Arabidopsis thaliana: one gene and its partners. The main gene of each other region encodes a partner of the protein of the gene in region 3 in a complex. Each region holds a gene or a part of one and is shown on either strand. Other genes may lie near its edges.

Region 1 (7,775 bases), on a different chromosome or scaffold from region 3:
TTGCCCTTAATCTGAAATGTCAAAACGATAGTATATTTGAATTGTAAACTATTCACATTGATCTACAAGAGGTAGACTAAATTATCTTCTAAATGACAATGAAAATGTATGAAAATCACCATGTGGGCTTGTCCGCATGCAGCAATAACAATGTCAGCTTCCCGTATGATAGCCTCAGGATCCTTGGTGTGAGAATGTACAGTTGTGACAGTAGCATCAGCCTTGAGCAAAAGAAGTGAAACGGGCAAACCAACAATGTTACTCCGACCTACAACAACTGCTCGTTGCCCCTTTATCTTTACGCCGCTTCTAGCTAGGAGTTCCAAACATCCCTGCACACACAGAAAATCACCTCATAGTTGATACAGAAGAAAAACAGAACACTGAGATTTCTCGCTTGAAAGAGACTGAAGTCTATATGCAAAAAAAGGAGAAGTACCTTTGGGGTGCAAGGAAGGAAGAGGGGTTCTCTGCCTTTCATGGCTAGCTTACCAATATTCAAAGGATGGAAGCCATCGACATCTTTATCAATGCTGATTGCACCCAATATATGCTCCTCATTAATATGTTTCGGCAATGGGAGTTGAACTAATATGCCTGCAAATCAAACACCAAAGCTTATATAAGCACAGGAGAGCAAGGAATGTTTGCTTTATACCAAAACGAAAGACTTGCATAGACATTAAAGTTTCTATCTATCCTTAATAGTTTAGACTAATGATAACCGAGAAGACATACAAAATCAAGTATTATTTACCGCCACAACTAACCATGGACATCCGGATTTGAATTTAGTTCATGAACTTTGCTAATAAGATCAGCTTCAGAAACTTCCTCTGGTAGGCCCACGTCAAATGACTTAATCCCAACCTCAGCGCACGCTTTCCTCTTCGTATTCACATAGGTCTGTGAATCCTTTCGGCTCCCAACAATAACTACAGCTAGTCCTGGGACCTGCATGAAGGTAAAATCAGATTCGATTGAATCTCGTACATTCTTGAAACTATATAAAGGGGTCCAACTGAAGCAACTGAACAAACGCACTAAACCATTTATTACACATACTCTCGTTCCTTCTATTTTATTACAATGATATCAAACATTATAAGCTTAGCACACACTATCTGTATAAATAAGATAGTATGCCACTTGAAGTAATGCAGGCAGCTCAAAAATCCAGCGAAACAAAATAACAGTGATCTAACTAAAATGGAGCTTACATTTGACCCTGTTAAGCATTTTCAATAGAAGGTTGTGATCATAGCTGCTTAAATCTAGTCATTTTAAACCATAAAGCTAAAAGAGAGTAAATTTTCAATAGTGCTATCATCTTATAAAAGAACGGAGAATTATAAGGAGAGACATGTCAAGATTAGGACACTGATTCATAAGATGCGTTTACCTTGCCGTGTTTCTCAGATAGACCGCGAACTTCCTCGGCGATCTCTGATCTGATGGTATGAGCAATCGCCTTGCCGTCGATTATCTTCGCCGTGTGATCAGATGATGACGCCATGAGCCACTAGGAATTTGCCTCGTGTCGGAAATATCTAATTCTCTCTCTGGATCCACTCACACTCGAAGATGACGAAGAAGACTTAATCTGAATCCATCCGCGGATAGGACACTCATACTTCTGCAACCAAACGTTCTACAATGGCAAATATGTAATTTCCCGCGTGACCTAAACTAGAAACGGCATCGTATTAAGGGTGGGCCCAATCATAACTCACACGAGGCTTTGTCGCGGTCACGAAAACCCAGACGGCGTTAATGGCCCACTCCGTTTGTTTCGACCCCGCCGTGACGGCGAATCTTTCCCTCTCAGCGTTTCACGCAACAGTAAGTAAGTTTTGGCGGTAAAATTGGGTCACAGATGGGTACGTGTCGATTTAATAGTGGTTGAAAGCGCGCGAATATAATTGTATACGTATGTGTATGTATTCTCCGTGTTGTTTTTCCCGCGCGAGATATATCCTTTTTTAGGGTTTGCCGCATAATCAGACCCCATTCTAGAGAGAGAAGAGGGAAGTCAGGTGAAGATAGAGAGAGACACTGAGAGGAGGGAAAATTTGTAGGGTTTTCGGAGATCTCTGTGATTCCTCTGAATTTGTCGAATTTTTTGGAGGAGGCGTTAGAAGTCGGGCTTCTTAAAAATCAGATCTTCTGCTCAGGCTTTAATCGGCGACGTCTGGTATTGGGATCTGTGACACAAAAAGGTAAGATCTTTCTCTATTGCCTATCCTTTGATTTGAAATCTTATCCTCTAGGTGGTTTATCTGAAATTTTCTATTGATATTTCGCTATTCGATTGTAAGTTGGTGAGAGAATTCTCCAAAAACAAAAAAGAGAAAAACTTTGAATGAATATTTAAGATAACATCTGGGTAAAATTTTTCCGGAGTGGTGGGTTTTAGATTATGCCCCAATTTCTCTTCTTTTTTTCCCCCAAATTTTGTCTTTCTGCCATGTTTTGGGAAATTGGGAGTTTGTTTTCTCATGTCTGTTAGTGTGTTCTTCCGAATGGGTTGGGCATGGTTCCTATTGAATTTCAGTGTGATTAAATTAACAAATCTCTTTGCTTGAAAAGTCCCTTTTTCTTCGTCTTCAGTTAGCAGTTTAATTGGAAGTAAAATTAGCTTGATTTTGCATGTTTTCAGCTGCGTTGGAGACTATGGAAGAAGTTCAGCCTCCAGTGACCCCGCCCATTGAACCAAATGGGAAAAGAAGCGAAGCCTCTCTCTTGGACATATGCGAGGTTTACTCTTCTCTTTGCTGATCTAGTTGCATTTGTTTAGTTGAAGATACCATTTGAGTTCTCTCGGAAATTTTGAGGACTAGCTCTAATCCCTGTAGTTGATTTCTTATTGCAGAAAGTTCTGTCTCTTGATGGGAGCACTTGCGATGAAGCTTTGAAGTTGTTTACAGAAACCAAACGAATTTTGTCAGCAAGCATGTCTAACATTGGAAGTGGAACGGTGAAATACATTTTTCCTCTAACTTCTCTTTTATCAGTTAACTGTGGTTTCATTATGACTAAATCCTTTTTTCTTCTTCTTATTAGCGGGAAGAAGTAGAGAGGTTCTGGTTTGCGTTTATTCTCTATTCAGTGAAGAGGCTTAGTGTGAGAAAAGAAGCGGATGGTCTGTCAGTGTCTGGTGATAATGAGTTTAATCTATGTCAGATACTGAGGGCTCTGAAGCTAAAGTAAGTAGTGTTCAATTCTTCCTTCCTTGTCATTCTTAAATTCATTTGTAGTGACGATTTTCCTCTTTTCTGTTTATAGTATTGTGGATTTTTTTAAAGAGTTACCTCAGTTTGTGGTCAAGGCTGGATCTGTACTGGGTGAACTTTACGGCGCAGACTGGGAGAACAGACTTCAGGTTTTGACTAACATCTTTTAAATATACTTCTACTTCTATTATATCATTGTTAAATATGCTTCTATTAACTAATTTTTACTTACTAGGCAAAGGAGGTGCAGGCTAACTTTGTGCATCTTAGCCTTCTAAGCAAGTGAGTTTAGCTCCCTTCCTATTTTACATTTATCTTTGTTTTGTGTAAGAATAGTTATTGACATAGATTTCATATTTTGGACCTGCAACTTAGAAGCAAATTTTCTTCCTATGCAATAATCAGAATATGGGCTTGCAATATTCCTTCAATTTTAAATTAATTAAGATTTAGAGTTACAGATTTCTGGTTTTCATGTGATTATATTCTGTGAATTGTTTTAAGGACATGTTAAAGTATGATGTTTTTGGTACCTTTCCTTGGTAACAGATACTACAAACGTGGGTTCCGGGAATTCTTTTTGACATATGATGCAAACGCAGAAAAGAACTCAGCAAACTCTTCTACCTATTTGCTGGATAGTTATCGTTTTGGATGGCTACTCTTTTTGGCACTCCGAAACCATGCGTTTAGTCGATTTAAGGACCTCGTGACATGCTCAAATGGCGTAGTTTCTATATTGGTTAGTGACTACCTGTGGAGCTCTCCCTAATCTTTCATTCATTTTAGTCTTGCTGTACATTATTACTTGAAAGATGCTTCGTTTAATATAACGCAATTGAAGTATAGGCTAACTCCTTTTCATGTTATCAGGCTATTTTGATCATACATGTTCCTTGTCGGTTTAGAAATTTCAGCATCCAAGATTCTTCTCGCTTTGGTGAGTGTTTATCTTTTCTTCTATCCCGATAACCATGGCACCATAGAATGTTTATCATCTATTTTCATTTATGTGATGAATCTCAGTTAAGAAAGGTGACAAAGGTGTAGACTTGGTTGCATCACTTTGCAAGATATATGACGCCTCAGAAGATGAGTTGAGGATAGTAATTGACAAGGCAAATAATTTGGTAGAAACCATACTGAAGAAAAAGCCATCTCCAGCATCTGAGTGCCAAACTGACAAGCTAGATAATATTGACCCAGGTTGGTCTAAAATCATTTTCCTTCTTCAATTAAAGAATCATGTGAGTTCATTGAACAGTTGCCTGATTGTTCTTCGAATCTATATGGTGTTTTACTGCAGATGGCTTGACCTACTTTGAGGATTTACTGGAAGAGACGTCCATCTCAACTAGCTTAATTACACTTGAAAAGGATTACTATGATGGTAAAGGCGAACTTGATGAGAGGGTATTCATCAATGAAGAGGATAGCTTACTTGGATCTGGAAGCTTATCTGCAGGAGCTGTTAATATTACTGGTGTTAAGAGGAAAATTGATGCTTTGAGCTCACCTGCAAGGACATTTATAAGCCCACTTTCTCCTCATAAGTCGCCTGCTGCTAAGACAAATGGTATTAGCGGTGCTACCAAGTTGGCAGCAACACCAGTGAGCACAGCAATGACAACTGCCAAGTGGCTCAGGACTGTCATATCCCCGCTTCTGCCAAAACCTTCTCCTGGGTTGGAACATTTCCTTAAATCATGTGATAGGGATATAACAAATGACGTCACACGAAGAGCACACATAATATTGGAAGCTATTTTCCCAAATAGTTCCCTTGGTGCCCAATGTGGAGGTGGAAGTTTGCAAGCTGTTGACCTGATGGATGACATATGGGCAGAGCAGCGCAGATTAGAAGCTTGTAAGTTATACTACAGAGTTCTTGAGGCAATGTGTAAAGCAGAAGCTCAGATTTTGCATGCAAATAATCTGAACTCTTTATTGACAAATGAGAGGTTCCATAGATGCATGCTTGCTTGCTCAGCTGAATTGGTACTGGCTACCCACAAAACAATTACAATGTTGTTCCCAGCTGTTCTGGAGAGGACTGGGATCACAGCCTTTGATCTCAGCAAGGTAATTGAGAGTTTCATACGACATGAAGATTCTCTGCCTAGAGAGTTGAGACGACATCTGAATTCACTGGAGGAACGGCTTCTAGAGAGTATGGTATGGGAGAAAGGCTCTTCAATGTACAATTCTCTGATTGTTGCCAGGCCATCGCTTGCATTGGAGATAAATCAGCTCGGTTTACTAGCTGAACCAATGCCATCTCTGGATGCAATCGCAGCACTTATTAATTTCTCTGACGGAGCAAATCATGCATCATCTGTACAAAAGCATGAAACTTGTCCAGGTAGTTTTATTTGTTTCTGAATTAAAGCAGTTTTCCAACCTGTTGTTAATGGTATGATTTTCTTACCAAAAATTGTCAAATTTGCTGCCATATAGGACAAAATGGGGGGATTAGATCGCCCAAAAGATTATGTACTGATTACCGCAGCATTCTAGTTGAACGCAATTCCTTTACATCACCAGTAAAGGATCGTCTGTTGGCCTTAGGCAACGTTAAATCCAAGATGCTGCCACCTCCGTTGCAGTCTGCATTTGCCAGGTACATTTTGAGTAACTATGAGTAGAAATGGAGAGTTAGTTTACCTATCTAGTTGTCCCTGTACTTGTTAAGTAACCTCTTCGGATTTATGTCTACAGCCCAACACGGCCCAACCCAGGAGGTGGAGGAGAAACTTGTGCAGAAACTGGAATCAATATTTTCTTCACAAAGGTAGGTCTGTGAGATCTTTGGATCTACTACTAATCGTTTGGTTAGATGATGTACTACAAAACACGGTATTGATTCTTCATTTTCGGCTGGGAATTGTGTTAAATGTGGTGGCTCTTCCCAGATTAATAAATTGGCTGCTGTAAGAATCAATGGAATGGTGGAAAGACTACAACTTTCACAGCAAATAAGGGAGAGTGTGTATTGTTTCTTCCAACATGTACTTGCTCAGCGGACTTCTCTTTTATTCAGTCGACACATTGACCAGATCATTCTCTGTTGCTTCTACGGAGTGGCCAAGGTGAGTAGTGTGATTCAAAGGGTTTAACTATATGTCATCTGGTTTACAATGGCTTCTCTTACACTTACACTTTTTCCATGAATCACCTTGTAGATATCCCAAATGAGCCTGACTTTCAGGGAAATCATATACAACTACCGGAAGCAACCACAGTGTAAACCATTAGTTTTCCGCAGCGTTTATGTGGATGCGTTACAATGTCGCCGTCAAGGGGTATATATACACTCTTAACCTTATGCTGAAAAGTTTCTTTACTCGGTGGAGAAGACTAAATTTGTGACAATGACTTGAACAGAGAATAGGGCCAGATCATGTTGACATCATCACATTCTACAATGAAATATTTATTCCTGCCGTAAAGCCGCTGCTGGTGGAGCTAGGTCCTGTAAGAAACGACCGGGCTGTGGAAGCCAATAATAAGCCTGAAGGTAGTTAAGAAAGGCCAGATACTTGTTAGATGTAAGCTTTGTCTATCAATTTAGTCCCTAAGTTAAATGATCGTCTTATTTTGGATTCACAGGTCAATGTCCCGGATCGCCAAAGGTGTCTGTGTTTCCAAGTGTTCCAGACATGTCCCCTAAAAAAGTATCTGCAGTGCACAATGTTTATGTTTCTCCTCTTCGGGGATCAAAGGTAAAGAAGATCATAGTGCTTAACTCTTTATCATGATATGACTAAGTCTTGAGGAGGAGGTAGGTGACAAGATTGTTTGGTTACCTTCCATGTGTTGTGTGTTTGCAGATGGATGCTCTTATTTCACACAGTACAAAGAGTTACTATGCTTGTGTTGGAGAGAGTACACATGCTTACCAGAGCCCTTCAAAGGACCTATCTGCCATCAACAACCGCTTGAACAAGTAAGTAGAAAAATCACGTCTCTCATCAGCTTCTTCCATAAAACCAATCACTGACCCAATCCAATTTCATCTGGTGTCACAGCAGCAGCAGCAACCGCAAGAGGACGCTAAACTTTGACGCAGAAGCAGGGATGGTCAGCGATTCCATGGTAGCAAATAGCCTTAACCTCCAAAACCAAAATCAAAACCAAAATGGAAGCGATGCATCGTCCTCAGGTGGTGCCGCACCCCTTAAAACCGAGCCAACAGATTCATAGATATCTCTCTCTACTTGCTACACCAACTTCTCTTCAGTTATAGCATCTGTAAATCCTTATGTTGCAGAGTTTGCTTTTATGTTTAGCTTTCTAGTTTATAGTGATCACCTCAGGCTATGAGCGGATGGATCCCTTTATTGTTTCTTTTTTCTTTTTTTATCTTAGTTAAGTCAGTCTTAATAAGCATTAATAAATGTCTTTTTCTTGTTCACTCTTTCTAACTGTGTTCGGTGTCCCATCTACTAAATTTATTTTCCACTTTAAAAAAAAACAATTTGTGACATTTACTTAACTTGGAACATATACAGTACAGTTAAGCAATTAACTATAACCAACAAA
Region 2 (5,561 bases), on a different chromosome or scaffold from region 3:
AACTAAAATACAATTGCAATCCTGTAAAATATTTATTTTAATTATTTATTTAAATTAGCGGTGTACGTCTTTTTTTTTTATAGGACAGGTTTGGCGAGACGGGTTTGGAAGAACGTTACTTAATAAGAATTATAAAATATAAAATAAAAATATTTTATAGATAGATATAATTTTCAAACTTTTATATATACTAATTTTAAAAAAAAAAATCTTCATGGTGTACTACGGGTTAAAATCTAATAGTTGTAGAAAACTCTTAAGCCTAAGGAAGTTAATTACCTAAATGGTAGGAGTTATAATAAAAATAACTTCTTACCAAAAAAACAACGTTAGATAACTTGTAAGATCACTTTTAGAGGCTATAAATTCCTCCTCACCTTTTCTTTTGTATAAAAGTAGAAAAAAGGAACCAAAGTAAACAAATAAAAATGCTATCGACTATTGTAAATTCTTTTTTAGTGTTTCCATATTTTTTTCATTTTTTATTTACTGTTTTTTTCTTACTGCACCATGACAAGTGAAGTAGATTTCGCGTTAGTGCACTTGAAATTTAGGACAACAAAAATGCAACTAGACAAACTTTTTCTGTATGAATATCTAGACGAACTTACATTTATATGGATAATCTTGTTTTGTTTGTTTGTCACAGTTAAACTAAAATATAATATAATTTTTCTGATCCATGGCTACAATAAATTTTAAAAATGTGGATAATATGTCTTCACAAATATTTTTCTAAATAAAATACTCTTTCTTTTTTTTGGCTAAAAAGTTGTCACATGCCATAGGGACGAAAATGTGTGTTTTACATTGTTTGGTACACCAATGTTTCAGTCTCTCAGATCTAAACTAATGGAAATTACGTTGATTTAAGCCATCATGATATCATGAAGGGATTTTTTCTCGTCATATTTGTCCAGTTTTACGAAAACAAGTTAAGGTATCAAACTTATGCGATACGAAAACTCTTTGAAATAACTCAATTATATTTACATTCCTTTAATATGTTTTGTTTATTCAAAATCATGATTAATTAATTCAGTATTTTGAATTCCTATTTTTGTTACATGATGCAATTGGTAATAATACAATGAAAAAAAAAACAGTCCCTTGTGTAGCGCTATACACCAAGTTTGTGTGTTTGTCGTCAATGCACCCATCGCTTCCTTATAACCTAATATAGGTTTTGATTGGTAACCACTTTACAAAACGGTACTAAGCGTTACAAAGTTTTACTCTTAGTTTATTGTACAGCTTAATACCTGTAGTAGAGTTAACAACTTTTGGTTACCAATCAGACCCATAAACATATATTAAGATAGACAAAAAAACATATATACATATATAGTACGACTTCATAAAAGATGGTATAATTTTCACATAATTTGATATTAATTAGATATCACTTACTCAAGTACTCAACTATGCAGAAGCACTCTTCATTCTTCAATTGTTTTTATGAAAATATTAAAGAAAAAAAGCTAGAAAAATGATACCAGAGAAACAAAATGAATCATGGGTTTAGAAATTCATTCTAATTTCTACCTTTTGGCAAAGACCATGAACTCTAAACTACTTTTTGGTATGATAACTGGACCAAATTTGGGCCGTTCATAGAGTTTATTGGTGCAGATGGACCTCGGAGATTAGGACTCCCCTGTAAACTCAATCTAGCAATGCCGAGACTCCGTATTTATAGATTCGTGAACCATGAATGTCGATCATTAACATAAAGCTACAAAGTATGAAGCTCTAGAAGATATGTAAACGTCGTAACATTATTAAGCCCAATTCAAGCCCAAGACCAAGCCCAAGACCAAGCCCAACAAATAGTCAAAAGAGTAAAATAATAAGCGGAAGAAGTTAGGCGGGGCTTAGGCAGAATTCGAAACTCTCTCCAACTTCTTTCGCCCACCGCTCTTTTAACATAATTCCAATATTTCTTTCTTATATTAATCTTTTTAATACAACAAAAAGACACTTTTACCCTTCCTCTTCTTCCCGCTGTTTCCTCTCTTCTCTCTCCATCTTTTTCTCCATCTTCCCTCTTCTCCTTCTTCATCTTCCCCCACAAAAACCTAAATCACGATTCTCCAAAATCGCTTCAAAAAATCACTCTAAATCCCATCTTCTCTACCACCGGAGATACACCGCCGTTACATGGCCGCGACATCAAACTCAGGCGAAGATCCGACTCTCTCTTACCATCACCGATCTCCTTTTCGCTTCGAATTACTTCAATCTATCTCTTCCTCTGATCCTCGTTACTCTTCTCTAACTCCTTCTTCAACGAATCGACCTTTCTCAGTCTCTCAATCGCTTCCGAATTCACAACTGTCTCCTCTAATTTCACCTCACTGGGACGATTCTTACTCTCAAATCACTCAGAAAGTTGTGAGTCTCTTCGTTTACTCAAGTCCTCGTAGATTCCTTCTTTGATTTTGATTCCATTTCCGAACTTGATTTTGCGATAGCTAGGTTTAATTCTGATTCCCAAATTTCGCGAAAACAAAAATTGAATGAAGTTTGGTTTCATTAAGGGAAACTTAATCCAAAATTGGATCTCTAGCTTTCAATTCTCTAATCTCAATTTGCGAATTTAGATTCGTTTTGGTGATTGTAATGCTATTGAGTTGATCTTTTCTTAATTTGCAGCAGAAGAGTAGAAAGAATCATCGAATTCAGCTTGGATCTATTGCCAACATGTCTGGAGGAGAAAGCATAGATATAGCTAAAGTAATAGTGAAACAAGAGTCGTCTCCTCAAAATGTTAAACGTGTATACAACAAGTCAAAGGGTGGTACTAAACTGTTAAAGGCTGGGAAACGAATGGCGAATGGCGGTATCTGCTTTTTCTGATCAATCTCTTTGGCTAGCTCTTAGAATGTGATATGTATTGAAAATAAGAATCTGTTTGTATTCAGCATTGTTGTGAATGAGTTTTTTTGTGCAGAAGTGCAAAATGGTGGCTTAAATGGAGCTAGTATTAACTGCCGTTATGACAGTTCTTTAGGTAACTAATAGTTCTGTTTACTAAGGTTCATGTTTGTATGGAGATAACAACTGTAATTGTATCGGTGTCTCTTTTGTTTGATAGGGTTGTTGACAAAAAAATTCGTGAAGTTGATCCAGGAAGCTGAGGATGGAACACTTGACCTTAACTATTGTGCAGTTGTTTTGGAGGTATGCTAAATGTATCTTAATATTTAAGTTAAAAATGTATGTCTCAACTCGTAGAAGATCTAATTAAGAACGTGGACTAAAAAGATCACTCACCTTTATAACCCTTGCCTTAACTGTTTGATATCTCCCTAGTTATCTTCATCAGCTTGTTAGGATCTCCTCTTATGTGCTTACGTGTTCCTGCGATCCCTCTTAACAGGTACAAAAAAGAAGGATATATGATATTACAAATGTCCTTGAAGGAATTGGATTGATAGAGAAAACTACAAAGAATCATATCCGCTGGAAGTAAGTACACAAATTTTTTCTTTCTTGGATACATTGCAGCGTATATAGCTTGAGTTCGTCTGACTTTGTGTATGCGCTATTGATGCAGGGGTGCTGACAATCTTGGACAAAAGGACCTGGGAGATCAAATTTCTAGGCTTAAGGTTCATTGTGACAAGCATTTTCACGTGTTTTCTTTGTCGTAGAACTTACTGCTATGCAAATAATCTGTCAAATTCATGATTTCATTATTTTTCTGTCTTATAGTTTATTTCACACAGTTATTTTCAAATTCCCCATTACTGACCGGTTACATATCTACGTATTTTCAGTCAGAAGTAGAGAGTATGCAATCTGAGGAAAGCAGGTTGGATGATCTTATAAGGTTGGTTGCTTGTGTTCTTATATTATGTTTGGAGACTTATCCATTGTTCCTTTCCCACATGGTTTGAAGATCATCATGTTATGTATCTCCAGGGAACGACAAGAAGCTCTCAGATCCTTGGAGGAAGATGACTACTGTAGAAGGTATTCGTCAGTTTATTTGAGTTTCATCTTTTTGTATATACACGAGAGTGTTGCTAAGATCAATGATGGAAATAAACAGGTACATGTTTATGACGGAGGAAGATATAACGAGTCTCCCACGGTTTCAGGTCCTCCCCAACTAGTTCTTGAAAATCATCTTATGTTTTCCTCAGTTATTTAACATACTAAACTGGTAGTCCTTATACAGAACCAGACATTACTAGCAATTAAAGCTCCTACAGCTAGTTACATCGAAGTTCCAGATCCTGATGAGGTGAGCGTTTTTAATGCTTTCATATTTGCTGTACAGTTGTAATATAATGTGTCACAAAGTAAAGCATCTGTTTTTGTTCACGATAGATGAGTTTTCCGCAACAGTACCGGATGGTGATTAGGAGTAGAATGGGGCCGATTGATGTCTATCTTTTAAGGTACTTAGTTACACATTCCACTCTCTGTGTCTGGTCTTATCTATATATTTGTCAGTCAGTGTTAATAACTGGGAACAAACATGATCGCAGCAAATACAAAGGAGACAGTGCGGAAACAAGCGACAAGTTGGGTAATGAGTCTGATCAAAAAGCTCCAGTTGGAGTAGACACTCCTTCCTTGAAAATAGTAACTTCAGATACTGATGTAAGTATTTAGATCCACTGATATGGGTTTTGGGATCAGTCTCGCATTTCGTATGTTGCGATTAAGTTGAATTTTTGGTTGTGTATTGCCAGTTAAAAGCAGATTACTGGTTCGAGTCAGATGCAGAGGTGAGCCTCACAGATTTATGGAGCAACTTCAACAGCTGAGAAACAAAGTTGTTTGAAACCTCAAATTCCCAATTACTAGGATGAGGATGAATTTTCTGTTACATTTTACTACCCCTTTTGAGCCTGAAATCCTAATAGATTTTTTTCCTTATAAAAATAAAAGATGCAATATTTTAAGGTCATTCAAGGGATGTGGCAATTATGTGAAAAAACTTGTACTCTAATTAGATATATAATTATACTTAATGGCCTTTTGCATGTCAATGCATACATCTGTTTTTGTAACATGTGTTTATAATGAACTTTGAAATTAATCTTTTTGACACTTTGGGTCCATAGGTTACAATTTGCATGTTCAAACAGAAACAAAGCATCATTTACGAACCACCTGATTTGGACAATATCAAACGTTACTTCTGTCAGAATCATGTCAAAAAACGAATGGTTCCAAATTGAAAACTAGTTAATCTCTCATCTTGTTACATTTAGTTTCAAAGCTCGAAGTCTTGAACGCTAGTAGAGAAAAATATCTTGTGGAAAAGAAGTATCAACTTTACAAAGCTTGATGTCATTCATGAGTTAGATCATATCATGTTTGATGTCATTCATGAGTTAATCATGACCACATTGGACATTGATATCTTGGTGGATCCCTAAATATGGTGCTTGTTTGGATCCCAAGCAATACTTTTCGTTAAATGGCATAACTCTTGCCTAGAAGTAACTGCCTAAAACAGTAAAACGTACCCTAAAAAAAAAGGAATGCCTTTCAGAGGATAATTTTCCTAATATACATTGTTGGATATAATTCTGCTATAT
Region 3 (7,533 bases):
TTCTTCATCTATTAATTTTCTTGAATTTTGTCTAACTTAGTGTGTGATGATTGATATAAATGAACCAAAGGAGGATAAGCATGGCTGGTCTGAGTTCGAAGACTGTACCTCACCTTGCAGACGCTATCCATGCTGTTGTCACCAAAGCCGTCTGAGAAACTGAACACCACCATGACACCAAAGCTTCATAATAAAGATTTTGTTCTTTTCTTTCTATTATAGCATTTCCGGCAGTGACAAGATAAATGTCGTTACTATTATTATTGTTTCATCCCAGTATCAATAAAGTACGCAAGAAAGCTTTTGTGCTCTCTCTTCTACTATTGCTTACAACTCTTTTTTGGTTTCTTATAGAGTCAAATGTTTAAGAGAAAACATTTGAGATTTAAGCTGGTGAACTTGAATACAGTTCATGTAGAATCTGAGGTTTTAGCATATGACGGAATTGCAGAAACTATTTAGATTAAACTAGCAGAGAACAAGAATAAGTTACTGCAGTTGGTTCGTTTCACAGAGTATACGGACGTGTACTCATTGCAGGCAAATGAAATATGTATATATATATTGAACACAGAATCTACATAAATTCACTCCAATTGATCCATTAAAAAGAAACAGAGAAAAAAAATTGATCCAGCCAGGGATAATTCATAAAAGATGCACATACATATTTATACATTGTTCATGTATGGTGCATTTTGCATATTATGTATAAGCTTTTGGCATTTTACCTACATCCCTTCAAGAGGTAGGATGAGACTTCTTCTGTTGCTTTGATTGGAGACTCGCAATCGTTGAAGTCCAGCACTCGACGCTCCGCCTATAGATTGAGAAATGTTCAAAACACAAAATCAATGGAGCACAAAACATTTTTCTTTGTTTCTAGAACTATAATCTCAAAACCGTCTACTTAGAGAGTGAATGATTTGTAGAGTATGTATATATACCAGTAGAGGATCATTATTCTCTTTATCCAATTCCTTCTTCTGCCTCGCATCATCATTAGTAGGTGAAATTGAAACCTCCATTGCATCTGCAAAAGCTGCAAATGCACTTGTATGTTCATTTATCTGTGTCATCACTCCTATGCTCTCGTAGCTTCTCTCCCCAGGACTGAAAATGTAGCCCATGTCCTGAAAAAATAAATACAATTAAGTTGCCTAAGGATAACATGTCTATATATTAAAAGAATTTGAAATTATGCACCCATGAAGTAAAAATGTTGAATATAGGATACAAGGATCTTAAGGCATTATCAAGTACCTCGATAGTTAAATCTGTGTCAAACCTTGGGCTGGGCAAGAGAGAGTTTATGTAAAATGGAGATTTCCAGGCTGAGGGAGATTCAAGACCTCTCCTGAATGGAGTTCCACAGAATCTGTAAATGGAAAGAAGAAACAAAATCATTGTAGCAAGAAATGAAAGCAAAAAGAGGACAAGGAATATTTTAGTAAGGGTGGTATAGATGTACATGCTAAAATTCTCATTGCTTGTCCCATTGTCAACAAGATGACCCTCCTTGTTTCTCGCTCGAGAAGGCGAATTAATCACTAAACAAACACTTGAAGGGGAATGATGTTCTTTGTTAGACGTAGCCATGAGAGTTCTTTGCAACTGATTTCTTGGGGTTGAAACTTGCGCCTTCTCTGCTTTAGTAACTGACTGACCAGGAGTAGACAGGACTGGCTTACCGGTATTGTGCTCAGAAAGAATACCAGAGAAAAATTCAACCTGCATAAGATTTGATCCATCATAAAGGTTATGTATGTCAGTTACATCTACAATCTATTGCTACAATGACGATTAAAACTCACCAAAACAATGAAGATTTTAACACAGGTGACAAAATGACATGATTGGCGACAAAATCTAAAGGAACTGAGTTTGTGTAAACCAGTAGCACAACTTATATTCAAATGGTTAAAGGAAAGAAAGAGACTTACATTCTCAACATCTTGTTCAGAATCATCCTTTTCCCTGACATTTGCCTCCATGCAAATTTGGTCTACTTTCTCAAGCGATTTTCTGATATGCATGGTTTCTTCTGGCATTCTGTGACTAAAGAGTGAAGAAGGCTTGCCACTCCATTCTTCACCGTCTCCATTCAAAATGTGAAAGTGGTTTTCTCTATCTCCATGGATGACACCAGTGCTATTTCCAAAATTAGATTGCCGATTCTCAGTCTCATCAAACATCACATCTAAACGTGAAAAGTCTTTTGCCAGACTGGCTGCTATATCAATTTCAAGCTTTTTATCACTTCTTTTCTCAGATAACGGTGTCAGCAGATCACGGGTCCGTTTCCTAAGGATTGACTGTGCACCAACCAACGTCTTTTTCCCAGTGGGAGATTCCCACAGTCGAAGGGGACTCATGCACGTCATGGTGGACATCAGTAGCTTGCGTATGCCAAGTGGGCTATAATCGTGTAGAGGATCATTTTTAGATTGTAGAAGATCACAGTTAAAAACAGGTAAGTCGAAGCTTGGGAAACCAAGACTTGATGATGCCCCCATATCCTCATGATGCTGCTCGTTTGTCATGTTTGGCTCATGCTTAGGTAGAGAGTGTGGCCTATCTTCTGCCAGAGAAGCAAAATCATTCACTGGAACCAACTTTTTGGGATCATTCACATGATATGATTGATCTTCTTCGCTGGAGTTATTGGTCCCTTCATCAACACAAGTGGAGCTTGATGGATCACCGATGCATATGAAGCTACCATTTCCATTTGTTGTGCACTTTGGTTCTACCTCAAAGGGATGACATATCAATCCAGATGACTTCTTGCTATACTTGTCTGGTGATATGATTAAGGGAGCTGGCCGAAGAGTTCCTTTTCCTGAGGCGGCCGTTGCAGTGAACCTTGAAGAAGAGCTCTGCGTAGGAGATTTTGTAGCTTCTGATATCTGTCTGTCTGAAGCTGATGAATACAAGATAGGATCTCGACGGTCTACCTGGTTAAACTCGTTTGGCTCTTGGGTCAAAGATCTAGAAACACTGTGCCCTTCACTCTCTTGATCAGGGAAAAGTACCCTGCAACATTCCGTTTCAGGTGTCAAAACGTTTGCTGAGTTGGTGTAAGTAGCCACATCAATATTTAATGTGGAGTTTGGAGCTCCCAGAGTAGATTCCTTGCTCTCCTTGGTGTATGGCATTGGTATTTCTGACATATTATGTCTCATCTCGAGTGATATATCTGATAGTTCCTGAAAATCAAATTGGTAATCCTGGCTTGGAGAAGTCGAGACATTATGATCAGGAAACTGTGAACAGTCTTCCATGTCATAAGAGACTTCGGAGATGGAGACTGAGATATCCTCCAATTCCGGATAGTAAAACTGCTCTGAATGATACGCAGTTTGCTCATTCTCTTGAGAGTTTCCACAGGGGTGGAAATCATGCCCAATATTGATAGTTCCATTTTGAAAGTCTCTTGCAGATAGTGAGCAGCCAACCATGCTTGAATTTTGACGGCTGTCTATTTCGTTCTCTGCCTGTCCATTTAGGCAGCCATTTCCATCTATATTACTTTGCATAAAAGTTGATTGTAATGTAGAACTTCTCTCATAAGGAGCTAGAGGCATGGCTTGGTACTGATCCAAAAGGCCAGACGACATGTAGGAATCAAGTTTCTTCTTGACTGAACTGTGCCAGTGATTTTTAATTCCATTATCCGACCTGTTGATAACATAGCAGAAAACTATATTGCTAGAACAAATAGAAGAATACCTTTAAGATTGAATAAATATGTACGATGATTTTTCAAATAACAATAGAAATGAGTACCTTCCAGGCAAGAACTTTGTTAACTCAGCCCATCTATTACCATATATTTGATGAGCACGAATCAGAAGCAGCTCTTCTTCTTGAGTCCAAGCTTCTTTGTTTATGGCAGGATTGAGATGATTGTGCCACCTATATCAGTAACAGCCTTCACAGTTAAAATCTTGAAAAGAGGACAAAAACTATATAGTGCTAGTAAAACACTGTTGTTAGAGAAATAGCTGTCTCTATAAGCATACCTCTCTCTACATTGCTTTCCAATACGGCCAGGTAAAAATCGAGCAATAGTGGACCACTTCTTCGGCCCATATTTTTCGATTAACTGAACGATCATTTCATCTTCCTACACACATGTCAAACGAGAGCAATAAACAGTCATCAGAGATGTTTGCAAATTCAAAGCAAACAGTGCAAGATGCACATGTTATAGAAATAGTGGAGGAAAAAACTATGTCACCTCCTTCGTCCAGGGCCCTTTAACAAGTTCAGGATTAAGGACCTTTTGCCACCTGTGGAGGCACTGGACATCAGTTCGATCCTTGAAGTATTCAGCTGAGAGTTAAGAAAAGATGTGACATGCATTTAGACAAGGAAGATTACAGTTCACTTCAGTAAATGAATATAGAAAGGAAAGAATGTCAACCTATCTTCTTCCAGTTTTTTCCTTTGAAACTATGGACAGCTTTTCTCAAGATCTCATCCTGAGAATATGTTTGGTTAAAATGATTTAGCAAATATGCAGATCATAGAATGTAAAAATGCATATATCCAAATGTCTACTTCTTGTATCTCTCATGATCAATGATATCATGCAAATGAACAAACACAGGGCAGAGTTTTGTTGCATATATCAAGAACGTGAGACCAGATTAATTGGCTACATGAACATAGGATTGGAAAGAAACTTATAAGAAGAAGCTGATGGAAACATAAATTTCACCTCCTCAGCTGTCCATTGGCCTCGAGTTGAACGTCTTGCAGGGCCACTAGTCCTCCTGTAAAATCCACACAATTGGTCATGCAACTCAATTCTAGGTGTGACAAACATGTCAATCTAGTAGGATATTGTGGCAAGCTAACAATTTATTAGTTAGTAAGATATGAGAAAAAAAGAAGCATACCCGTGACGCAATTTCGGGATCCGTTCCTGAGGGGTTGAAGACTCAGCTTCCATAACTAGTCAATGAAAATGCAAAAATAGTCACCCCAATTCCCATACGTTGCCTTTCTTCTCTGCAATGTTGTAACTCCAAAACATTATATTTCAAAACTACTATTCCCTCCTTTGTACCATCTCACAATCTTCCTAAGATAAATTGTAAAGAAAAAAAACACTAAGGATTCAGCTCCAAAAAAAGTCGGTCGCTAATCAGGACAAAACATACTCGAAGCTTGAAAATAATTACAATGACTACTAATTGTGAACTTTTGTTCGCAGTCATTTTTAAAAAGAGCAAACTATTTAGATCAAGCAGACAATAAATTCAAAATCAAATCATACCCAAACCAACCTAGATTCAAATATAGAACCATGGAGTCATAAAACAAACCTATGCGAGCTTCAGAAATGGAAGTGGTTCATAAATCGGAGAGAGACAACGACGATACCCAGAAACTGGAGAGACCAAAATGCCCAAAGTAAATCCAATCAAAAACTAGAAATCTCCTCCAATCGGAGATAAATGTTCACGATCTGAGTTAATAAAGAGAGATTAATTGAAAATTTTCCCAGAGAAGATAGATAAAAGAGAGAAATCTAAACGGTCGGCAGAGCTATTTCAAAACAAGACTGGCGGAAATTCAAAAATGTTAAAGTCTCCTTCTTCAACAAACCCTATACAAGTCAATAACGTTTGGTTTTTTTTTTTTTTTTTTTTTGAGCGGCTCTCAGTCTTAATCTCAGCCGTCCATTTTAAATATTTTCGGTCACGTGTCTCCTATCTTTTTTTAGTATTTAACGGACATAATTATTTAGTTTCTTATCCTTTATTTTCCCTTCTTTTTCCCTTTTTTTCAAATTTTCACTCAGATTTATTTAATACCCTTAGATTTCCAAGTACACCAACAGTTGGATTATTGATTCAAATCACTTTAGGGGCCACCATAATTATTTCAAATCATATATCATCAACAAGCCAACTATGGTCGCTAAAAAAAAGTAGTCTAAGCACTAGTGACTAGCCCCGCTAACTTACAGTAATAACCCGATAGACCCACTGCAATCACGAGACAGGACTGTTTAAATTCAACCCGCAAGTTTTAACAATAGCAACTATGGTCAAGAATAAAGTGATTCCAAAACCCAACCCAATGCAGAGTAACACATGAAGCTTTATGGGGTAGTAAACAAATTTCAGGTTACACAGCAATGCAGAGTAAACCATAATTGCACCAGATCACTGGTTCACCTGTGTCATATATAGAATATAATGCTCTCCTTTTTCCCACAGATCAGATTCAATCCTTTTGAAACATTTCAATGGACCAAGGAGTCCAAGAACCAGATTAGGGTTTTAGGTATTCAAGATTTTTTTAAAGAAAACATAGAACCGGACAACCATCAACATCATAGTTAAGGCGAGTAGAACATCATAAGCCTTCTTTGAAGGACGGTACCAGATCATCTCTGGCAGAATGTTACCGACTTGGTTTGTTTTGTTTCTCATTTCTTCAGAGCTTTTACATGAAATCGTCTTCAAGTTCTTGAAGCGATTTGTTGCTTGAAGCAATGTCTTTGTTGGATGTCATTTTATCAGTTACCATTAGTCCCTTGTAACTCCTCATCTCTGATTGCCTCTCCTTCTCAAGCCTATCTATCTCTTCACGTTTCTTCTGCAAAATCCAGAAACAACCGAGGATTTCAGTCAAAACCCTAATCAAAGACGTTTAAGATGATAACGACCAAAAACAGACACTGACCTTCTCCCTCAGATGTTGTTTCCTCTCTGCCCTTTCTGCGGCATTCACTGCTTCTCTCTCGGCTTCATCAACACAGTTATGAACAATCAAATTATTTTCATAGATCTTGAAGTTATACTGACTGGAAAAACTACAGACACTTAACTGACACTTCATCAGCAGGAAAATTGTTAAACGAGAAAGATGTATGCATGATCAATCTTCTACCTATTAGAATCTGAGGAAGAGCTCACAAAACAAATACTAACCTCTCAGATCAGGGGTTCTTTCAACTTTTGTTTTGTTCAGTCTGTTAACTATTTCATTGACTCGCTTCTCCACTCTGATAGTCCGGACCTGAACGAAACAAATATGAGTTAGGTATCAATATCATCGAAGCTTTACAACCATACTTTGAGCAGTTTATGTATGCGCAACCAAAATTTCTTTAGAGATGAAGAAGCTTACCATCTTTGAATTGTGGAAACCAACTTGACCAACATCCATGGAGGCAGTTTTCTTCAAGTTGGACCACGGAGTGTACACAACATCAACGTTGTTCACCTTGTTGCCTGGCACATAATCCCAGACACCAGTCGGTAAGAAAACAGAAAAAACCTATATGTGCCCTCCTTCTAAAAAACAAACTGGTACTCTAAGACTAATGGTTATGCAAATGTTAAGTTCACGACAGGTAGAAAAAAAGATTACCTTGAATGGAGTTAGCTTTCACAAGCTGAGCACAGTCCTCCAGCACACCTTCACTAATGTCATCAAAACTTTGGCCTCTATGAAGCCTCAAGTAAACATGAGCTGACGACATTTTATCCACGTGAAACCTGCATCAAA
Region 4 (6,430 bases), 3.7 Mb from region 3:
CAACAAACTTAGTCACTTTGCAACTAAACCCACACTTGTAGTCTCTGTAGAGTGTAGTTCACCTTTTTGAGCATTCGTCGCTATGTTTCCACATTTAAACCATAACAGTTGGCCCAAAGAAAAAGTGAAAGCTAATGGGCTTTTTATGTTACTAGGCTTAACCCAGAAAATGACATACAGCTAGCGATACGACATTGGTTTAGCTCTGCAAAACGCTCTATAGTGTCTGTCTGGTCAGAAATTCTTCGACTCACTTTCGGTTTCTGATGTTTTGTCTCTCTGATTGAAAAAGGTAAAATCTCTTGAATCTATATCATATCGCTAAGCTTAATTTGCTGGCTAGGATTTTACCTGATTTTTTGGGTATATAGTGATGATAGAAATTTGAAGTAATTTCTCCAGTTTTCTCATTGATTTAGGGGTTTTAAATGTAGACTTAGTATTCATGAATGAGTTGATTTCTAATTGATATTATCATGTTAATCATCTTGAAGAATTGACCTTGAATTGGTGGTTCATAGATGTCTCATCTTGTACAATTTATTTGCTCGAGGATCTTATGATTCTTGGACATAGTGGAACAAAGATAGCTTTAAAAATGGACGCTGAGATGATTACTTGGTTGATGTATAATAGTTTGGTCTCTTAATTAAGGTTTTGATGGTCCTTAAGGTTAGTGTATAGCTTCTATAGAACTTTTTAGTCTCTCCTTTTAGATGGTTATGACGAATTGACGATTGTGTTATTCACGAGATAATTTGCATCCGAACATGTAAATGTTACACACTTGCAATATTGGTGTGCATGGAGAAATTATAGATTGTGTTAAGTGTTAATCCCAAAATGCATCTGCTAAAAGTGTTGCATAATCATCTTGTTGACTAGATAACTTGTTTTTGTGGTTTGGACAATGTGACGATACTATATATGATGTATGTAAAGATCGGGTTTTGCAAGATGGGAAACAAAGCTACAACGGTGAAAGAAGAACGCGAAGAGATCCATTTGAAGATTGTACCTCCATTGGACAAAGTTTTTCTGCGTTGGCTCGCAAGAGATCTCCAGAGAGTTCATGGATTCAAACCGAAGAACAACACTCGTGCGATCACTCCTCCAGATAGCTACATCGAGTTTATGCGGTTAAATGGATCGCTTGATGTAGATTTAGATGACCCTGATCTTGCCCATTTGTTCAAGTAAAAAGGGGTTCTTCTATTGTTGTCTCTGTTTGTTATGTATGAAGCTTTCAAAGTCTTAGTATCTTTTTTGATTACTCATACAGTCATACTTAAAGCTTGTGTTTTGGAAGCTCAGTCTATAAATATATATTATCTTCTCTAAACAGTATAGCATTCATAAGAGATCCAAGTGTCTGCATTCAGACGACACATGTTTCTATTGTCTTGGTGCTATGATTTGGAATCCCTATGTTTCGAGGTTCCATTTAAAAAAGTTGTTAAATGATGAGACACTCATGAGCATAATTTTCATCAATATAGTTTTGCCTCACCTATGAATTAAAAACAAAAAAACGTATAAGTTCGACAGATTTTGACGATAATTGCTCACACTTAACGCGTGTAACGGATGCTGCAACAGTTTGATGAAATTATTATGCTCCACTTCTTAACATGAATAAATCCAAAATTCATTTTTTTCCCCTCAATCTCAAGGAAATAAAACTGTATCCAAATTAGTTACATAGCTTTATTAACTTCGTTGACTTTAAAAAAAAAAAAACTTACTTAAAATTTTATAATTTTGTATTATATATAAAAATAGGATTATTATTATTTAGTAGAGAGATATTGGTAAAAAGATTTGTGTACAAAGAGAGAGATAAAGAGCGCTAATTCCCTCCACATCAGTATTCAGAACCAAACGCAACTCATTCCCTCGTTTTCTCTCTTCCTCTTCCACCGTCTCTTTTTTTTTTTTTTTTTATAATCCTTCCTCTTCTTCATCTTCTTCTCCTCTCCCGCTTTTTTTCGATTCGCCGATCTCTTCACATTCTCTTCCCGGAATCTCCGTAATTCCCGCCGTAGATCTGCTTCTTAATCGTTATTGGGATCTCTGCTTACCGGAGATCCGAGTTTCCGTGACAATTTTCGCCGTTTCTTTTTTTTTTTGGGGGATTTTTTATCGAGATTCGTTCTTATGTCTGAAGAAGTACCTCAACAATTCCCATCTTCTAAGCGGCAGCTTCATCCTTCTCTTTCTTCTATGAAGCCTCCTCTAGTTGCTCCTGGTGAGTATCACCGGTTTGATGCGGCGGAGACTCGCGGTGGTGGAGCTGTTGCTGATCAGGTTGTCTCTGACGCGATTGTGATCAAATCTACTGTAAGTCTTTTTTCTTCTCAATTTTGCTTGTGAATTTTGCTTTATAATTCTCGTGTTTTCGATTGTGTGTGAGGTTTGGTTTTATTGATTATGATTTTGATGATGTCGTTGCTTTAGATTTTGATGAGAATTGTGTCGGGATCTGCTTCTGTTGGTGTTAATTGCGTTTGGTCTCTTTTGATTAACCTTGTTTGTAGTATTGGAATTAGCATTGCAAGTACTTATTGAGTAGTTTAGTTGCTGGACTTAGGGTTTGTGGTGTTACTGTTATTGCTATTTAGAGCAGATTCATGCACTTTTGTGTTTATGTTTAGTTAAATTAGTTTCTGAATTTTGCTATGTTGGAATTGGTAAAAGTTGTGTCTATGCTTTTAGATTTCAGCATAGTGACAGTATGATGCTGATAGGATTTGATTCTGTTCAATTCGTTGATGTATTTAACTGTTCAATTTTGGTGACTTTATTGGCAGCTGAAGCGTAAGACAGATTTGGTAAACCAAATAGTTGAGGTCAATGAATTGAATACCGGTGTTCTTCAAACACCTGTATCAGGGAAAGGGGGGAAAGCCAAGAAAACTTCTAGGTCTGCGAAGTCTAATAAGTCTGGAACGCTAGCTTCTGGCTCTAATGCAGGTGAGTTTGGTTCTAAATGCTCTGTGTTAGTATGCCAATGAGAAATATTTCTTATGTGCTCATCTGAGCTAAATCTTCTTTAAAGAGTGGAGATATTGCAATGTAGTGAGAAGGATCTTTTGTGTTGGCAGGTTCTCCTGGAAATAACTTTGCACAGGCCGGTACTTGTCGATATGATAGTTCGTTAGGTAATAACTTATTTCATTAACTAATGTTTAAAAAATGTACTTTTGGATAATAAGTTTTTTTAATGATTTAATCTGCTTCAGGTCTTTTGACAAAGAAATTTATCAATTTGATAAAACAAGCAGAGGATGGTATTCTTGATCTAAACAAAGCAGCTGATACTTTAGAGGTGACATATTTGAACTCTAGACTCCCATATTGATGTATTACTTTCTGTCAAACTTAGCTGTATGTTCCTGTTGATGCAGGTACAAAAGAGAAGGATATATGATATAACCAATGTGTTAGAAGGAATAGGTTTGATAGAGAAGACGCTTAAGAACAGGATTCAGTGGAAGTAAGCATGTCTTAGAACTGTCAAATCTTGGATTCCTTCCATTTGATGACTCATGTGTGAGCGACAGTACTCTGAATTTTCTTGTCTGTCTTAGGGGTCTCGATGTCTCAAAACCAGGAGAAACAATCGAAAGCATAGCTAACCTACAGGTACAGAACATGCCTATATATTCTTTACCTTTTCATTGCACATTTCACTGCGAACTCTGTTATGCAATGCTCAGTATTATCACCAGTTTTATTATTGTTTTCACGTTAAGGGTATATCTTAGCTTGCATTGTCTTCTTGAACATCGTATGAATCTGCATTAGTATGATTCTTGTTATGCCTGTTTTCTGAGAGCTAAATGTGTTAGGAGGTAACTAGGATACTAGTAAATTTACCATACACACAAACATCGATGACATGTAACCACAAGCTCTGTTTTGTATACCCGTACTGGCACCTTTGAATGATGAGTTTCTGTTTTATGTTTGAACCTGTTGAATAAGTGGAAATTGGTACTGCAGTTTTTCTTCGATCTCAGTCACTTGCATTGATTTCTTGTTTTGGGTTTTTGGTTCGAAAAACTATTCATGTTTTATAATTCCTGTTACCAATCTTACAGGATGAAGTACAAAACCTCGCAGCTGAGGAGGCAAGATTAGATGACCAAATCAGGTATTTTCGCAGATAATTTTCCTTCCCTTTTCTGCTGTTTTGTATCATCTTTTTGAGAGTCGACCTGGTTGCAGAGAATCACAAGAAAGATTAACAAGCTTGAGTGAGGATGAAAACAACAAAAGGTAAGCGTCCCCTGCTATTTCTTCTGCCGAAAGGTACAATAAAACATATCTGTTTGTTCTGACGCTCCACTTTTTAGGTTACTGTTCGTCACTGAAAACGACATTAAGAACCTACCATGCTTCCAGGTCTGGTCTCCTTCTAGTAATTACGTGTTTCTCTTTGCCTTGCATTCTTCTCACTGGGGAAACATGTTTTTGTGGTGCCTATTTTAGAATAAGACGCTGATAGCTGTAAAGGCACCGCATGGAACAACTCTTGAGGTTCCAGATCCTGATGAGGTAAGCTTAAGAGCGCACAAAACCAAATGAGCGATGCACTGTCTGTAACGATTCTCACCTCTTATCCTGCCATTAATCAGGCTGGTGGTTATCAGAGGAGGTACAGAATCATTCTGAGAAGCACAATGGGACCAATAGACGTGTACCTAGTCAGGTAACACTGTCCTCAAACGTTATGCTTGCCCTGGATAAATCTGTAACATGGAAGTGAGACTGACATTTATATTGTGCTTTTTTAGTCAATTCGAAGAGAGCTTTGAGGACATTCCTCAGGCTGATGAACCTTCAAATGTTCCTGATGAACCCTCTAATGTCCCTGATGTACCTTCAAATCTTCCATCAACATCTGGTCTCCCTGAGAACCATGATGTATCTATGCCGATGAAAGAGGAAAGCACCGAAAGAAACATGGAAACACAGGAAGTTGATGATACGCAAAGAGTTTACTCTGACATCGAATCTCATGACTTTGTCGATGGTATCATGAAGATTGTTCCTCCAGATTTGGATGTAAGTCCCAACTGCTTCCTCAGCTTAAAATTTTCACCAATGTACATAATCACAGTCTGGAAAAGTAACCATATCTAAAAAATCATGCTTGACTTAATTCATATTTACCTGTATGTTACATTATATACAGATGGGTGTAGATTACTGGTTTCGATCAGAGGTAGGCGAAGTCAGCATCACAGACATGTGGCCAGATGAATGTATCCTTGATTTCTATCACTTTCTGTGATTTAATCTAATCTCTCTTTGAGCTTTTGAGTTTTTTCCTCCCCAAATATGATATCTGTTTAGAGCTCCTTGACTCTTTCATCATTAGCTGGACCAGACTGGAACCAGATGATTACATTTGATCAAGACCACGCTGGACCGAGCGACAACAAAATCTTGGAGCAGCCACAAACTCCATCGAGCCCAACACCAGAAGAATCCACTGCTACGAGATCACCTACAGGTAGCTGAAGTTACCATACCACATTACAAGCACCACCATATATCTGTACATAGAATCTGATTTCGGTGAAACCAGAGTTAATGTTGTACTTGTACAGTAGCTGCATTGCATTATCATAGAATAGAGATTGCAAAATAAAAGTAGAGAAACCAACCCCTTCGTTGTATTCTTCATTTTTTTTCTTTGTTAGCTTCTCAGGCTTAATATAGAATTAGCCTTAGCCCATTGATTTCTTAATATTGGTCTTGTTCATGTGAAACTGCAAAACCTTTTAGAGTTGTAGACGGGTGCTTAGTAGTTTTACATGCTCCATTTCCGGTTTACCAAAAAGGTAACCAGATCGAAACTAAAACATATTTCCGTTCATCAAAAATCTTGACGAAAACATATTGGTTCGGTTGTGGTTTGAGAGATTTCTTTTTGGTTCAAATCGGTTTCTATGTCCAATCCTTTGATATCACTCGAGATAGTTTCTTACAAATGATATCATATATAACTTTGAATTCACCTCAAGATGGTATTATTTTCCTTAAAAAAGAAATCCATCAAAATTGTGCATCTCCAAAGCAATGAGCAATGCTGAATCTCCAAGCTAAGTTAAATGAAAAAAAGGTTCCTCTTTTAACAAACTTTCCCACACCAACATCCTCACTCAATAATCTCAACTTGTTTTCTCTTCCTCTAGTAAAAAAAAAAATGTCTTTCAAGAAGATGATGAAGTATATACTCAAAACCATATTCAAACCCATTTTTATGGCATGCGGTTGCGGCTCTACCGTTCCACCTTCCTCTCACAGCCACTACACCCCGGGACCACCGGTTTCTCCCACGGTTTTACGCAGCCCATGTCCTAAGATCGATGAGAGCGTCGCGATGGCTAAAGAATCAATCAATCCGTTCGAAGATTAC

The links.
Region 1: MYB3R-4 (region 3) and RBR1 share a complex: the UniProt entries of both Arabidopsis thaliana proteins name them as parts of the DREAM-like complex.
Region 2: MYB3R-4 (region 3) and ATE2F2 share a complex: the UniProt entries of both Arabidopsis thaliana proteins name them as parts of the DREAM-like complex.
Region 4: MYB3R-4 (region 3) and E2F1 share a complex: the UniProt entries of both Arabidopsis thaliana proteins name them as parts of the DREAM-like complex.

What each region holds. Positions count from the first base shown.
Region 1 is NC_003074.8:3,913,332-3,921,106, reverse strand, and holds RBR1 (retinoblastoma-related 1), read left to right. Parts: upstream 1-1,747; 5' UTR 1,748-2,219; intron 2,220-2,659; 5' UTR 2,660-2,673; coding exon 2,674-2,757; intron 2,758-2,872; coding exon 2,873-2,977; intron 2,978-3,063; coding exon 3,064-3,206; intron 3,207-3,285; coding exon 3,286-3,382; intron 3,383-3,468; coding exon 3,469-3,515; intron 3,516-3,782; coding exon 3,783-3,975; intron 3,976-4,106; coding exon 4,107-4,173; intron 4,174-4,259; coding exon 4,260-4,439; intron 4,440-4,539; coding exon 4,540-5,595; intron 5,596-5,690; coding exon 5,691-5,853; intron 5,854-5,951; coding exon 5,952-6,024; intron 6,025-6,145; coding exon 6,146-6,322; intron 6,323-6,415; coding exon 6,416-6,535; intron 6,536-6,617; coding exon 6,618-6,750; intron 6,751-6,842; coding exon 6,843-6,955; intron 6,956-7,063; coding exon 7,064-7,179; intron 7,180-7,261; coding exon 7,262-7,436; 3' UTR 7,437-7,758; downstream 7,759-7,775. Other genes in the region: AT3G12290 (Amino acid dehydrogenase family protein), read right to left, coding at 1-11, 120-332, 440-597, 771-954, 1,403-1,516. UniProt on the Arabidopsis thaliana protein: Key regulator of entry into cell division. Acts as a transcription repressor of E2F target genes, whose activity is required for progress from the G1 to the S phase of the cell cycle.
Region 2 is NC_003070.9:17,632,777-17,638,337, forward strand, and holds ATE2F2 (winged-helix DNA-binding transcription factor family protein), read left to right. Parts: upstream 1-1,920; 5' UTR 1,921-2,160; coding exon 2,161-2,394; intron 2,395-2,655; coding exon 2,656-2,842; intron 2,843-2,953; coding exon 2,954-3,013; intron 3,014-3,097; coding exon 3,098-3,183; intron 3,184-3,382; coding exon 3,383-3,471; intron 3,472-3,559; coding exon 3,560-3,614; intron 3,615-3,782; coding exon 3,783-3,835; intron 3,836-3,927; coding exon 3,928-3,978; intron 3,979-4,057; coding exon 4,058-4,106; intron 4,107-4,186; coding exon 4,187-4,252; intron 4,253-4,338; coding exon 4,339-4,409; intron 4,410-4,499; coding exon 4,500-4,614; intron 4,615-4,706; coding exon 4,707-4,781; 3' UTR 4,782-5,033; downstream 5,034-5,561. UniProt on the Arabidopsis thaliana protein: Involved in transcriptional repression. May act by repressing E2F-regulated genes in mature differentiated cells, but is not an antagonist of E2FA.
Region 3 is NC_003076.8:3,677,879-3,685,411, reverse strand, and holds MYB3R-4 (myb domain protein 3r-4), read right to left. Parts: upstream 5,665-7,533; 5' UTR 5,337-5,664; intron 5,093-5,336; exon of another isoform or gene 5,020-5,092; 5' UTR 4,961-5,019; coding exon 4,908-4,960; intron 4,782-4,907; coding exon 4,727-4,781; intron 4,488-4,726; coding exon 4,430-4,487; intron 4,339-4,429; coding exon 4,244-4,338; intron 4,130-4,243; coding exon 4,026-4,129; intron 3,919-4,025; coding exon 3,790-3,918; intron 3,682-3,789; coding exon 1,944-3,681; coding exon of another isoform or gene 1,779-1,943; intron 1,732-1,778; coding exon 1,472-1,731; intron 1,379-1,471; coding exon 1,264-1,378; intron 1,134-1,263; coding exon 948-1,133; intron 821-947; coding exon 728-820; 3' UTR 528-727; downstream 1-527. Other genes in the region: ASP3 (aspartate aminotransferase 3), read left to right, coding at 71-155; AT5G11500 (coiled-coil protein), read right to left, coding at 6,466-6,618, 6,706-6,767, 6,954-7,041, 7,153-7,256, 7,396-7,523. UniProt on the Arabidopsis thaliana protein: Transcription factor that binds 5'-AACGG-3' motifs in gene promoters. Involved in the regulation of cytokinesis, probably via the activation of several G2/M phase-specific genes transcription (e.g. KNOLLE). Required for the maintenance of diploidy.
Region 4 is NC_003076.8:7,358,592-7,365,021, forward strand, and holds E2F1 (E2F transcription factor 1), read left to right. Parts: upstream 1-1,943; 5' UTR 1,944-2,157; coding exon 2,158-2,340; intron 2,341-2,810; coding exon 2,811-2,973; intron 2,974-3,104; coding exon 3,105-3,161; intron 3,162-3,242; coding exon 3,243-3,328; intron 3,329-3,407; coding exon 3,408-3,496; intron 3,497-3,590; coding exon 3,591-3,645; intron 3,646-4,103; coding exon 4,104-4,156; intron 4,157-4,230; coding exon 4,231-4,281; intron 4,282-4,358; coding exon 4,359-4,407; intron 4,408-4,494; coding exon 4,495-4,560; intron 4,561-4,640; coding exon 4,641-4,714; intron 4,715-4,799; coding exon 4,800-5,070; intron 5,071-5,200; coding exon 5,201-5,270; intron 5,271-5,386; coding exon 5,387-5,529; 3' UTR 5,530-5,914; downstream 5,915-6,430. Other genes in the region: AT5G22210 (aspartyl/glutamyl-tRNA (Asn/Gln) amidotransferase subunit B), read left to right, coding at 958-1,200; OFP10 (Ovate family protein), read left to right, coding at 6,098-6,430. UniProt on the Arabidopsis thaliana protein: Transcription activator that binds DNA cooperatively with DP proteins through the E2 recognition site, 5'-TTTC[CG]CGC-3' found in the promoter region of a number of genes whose products are involved in cell cycle regulation or in DNA replication.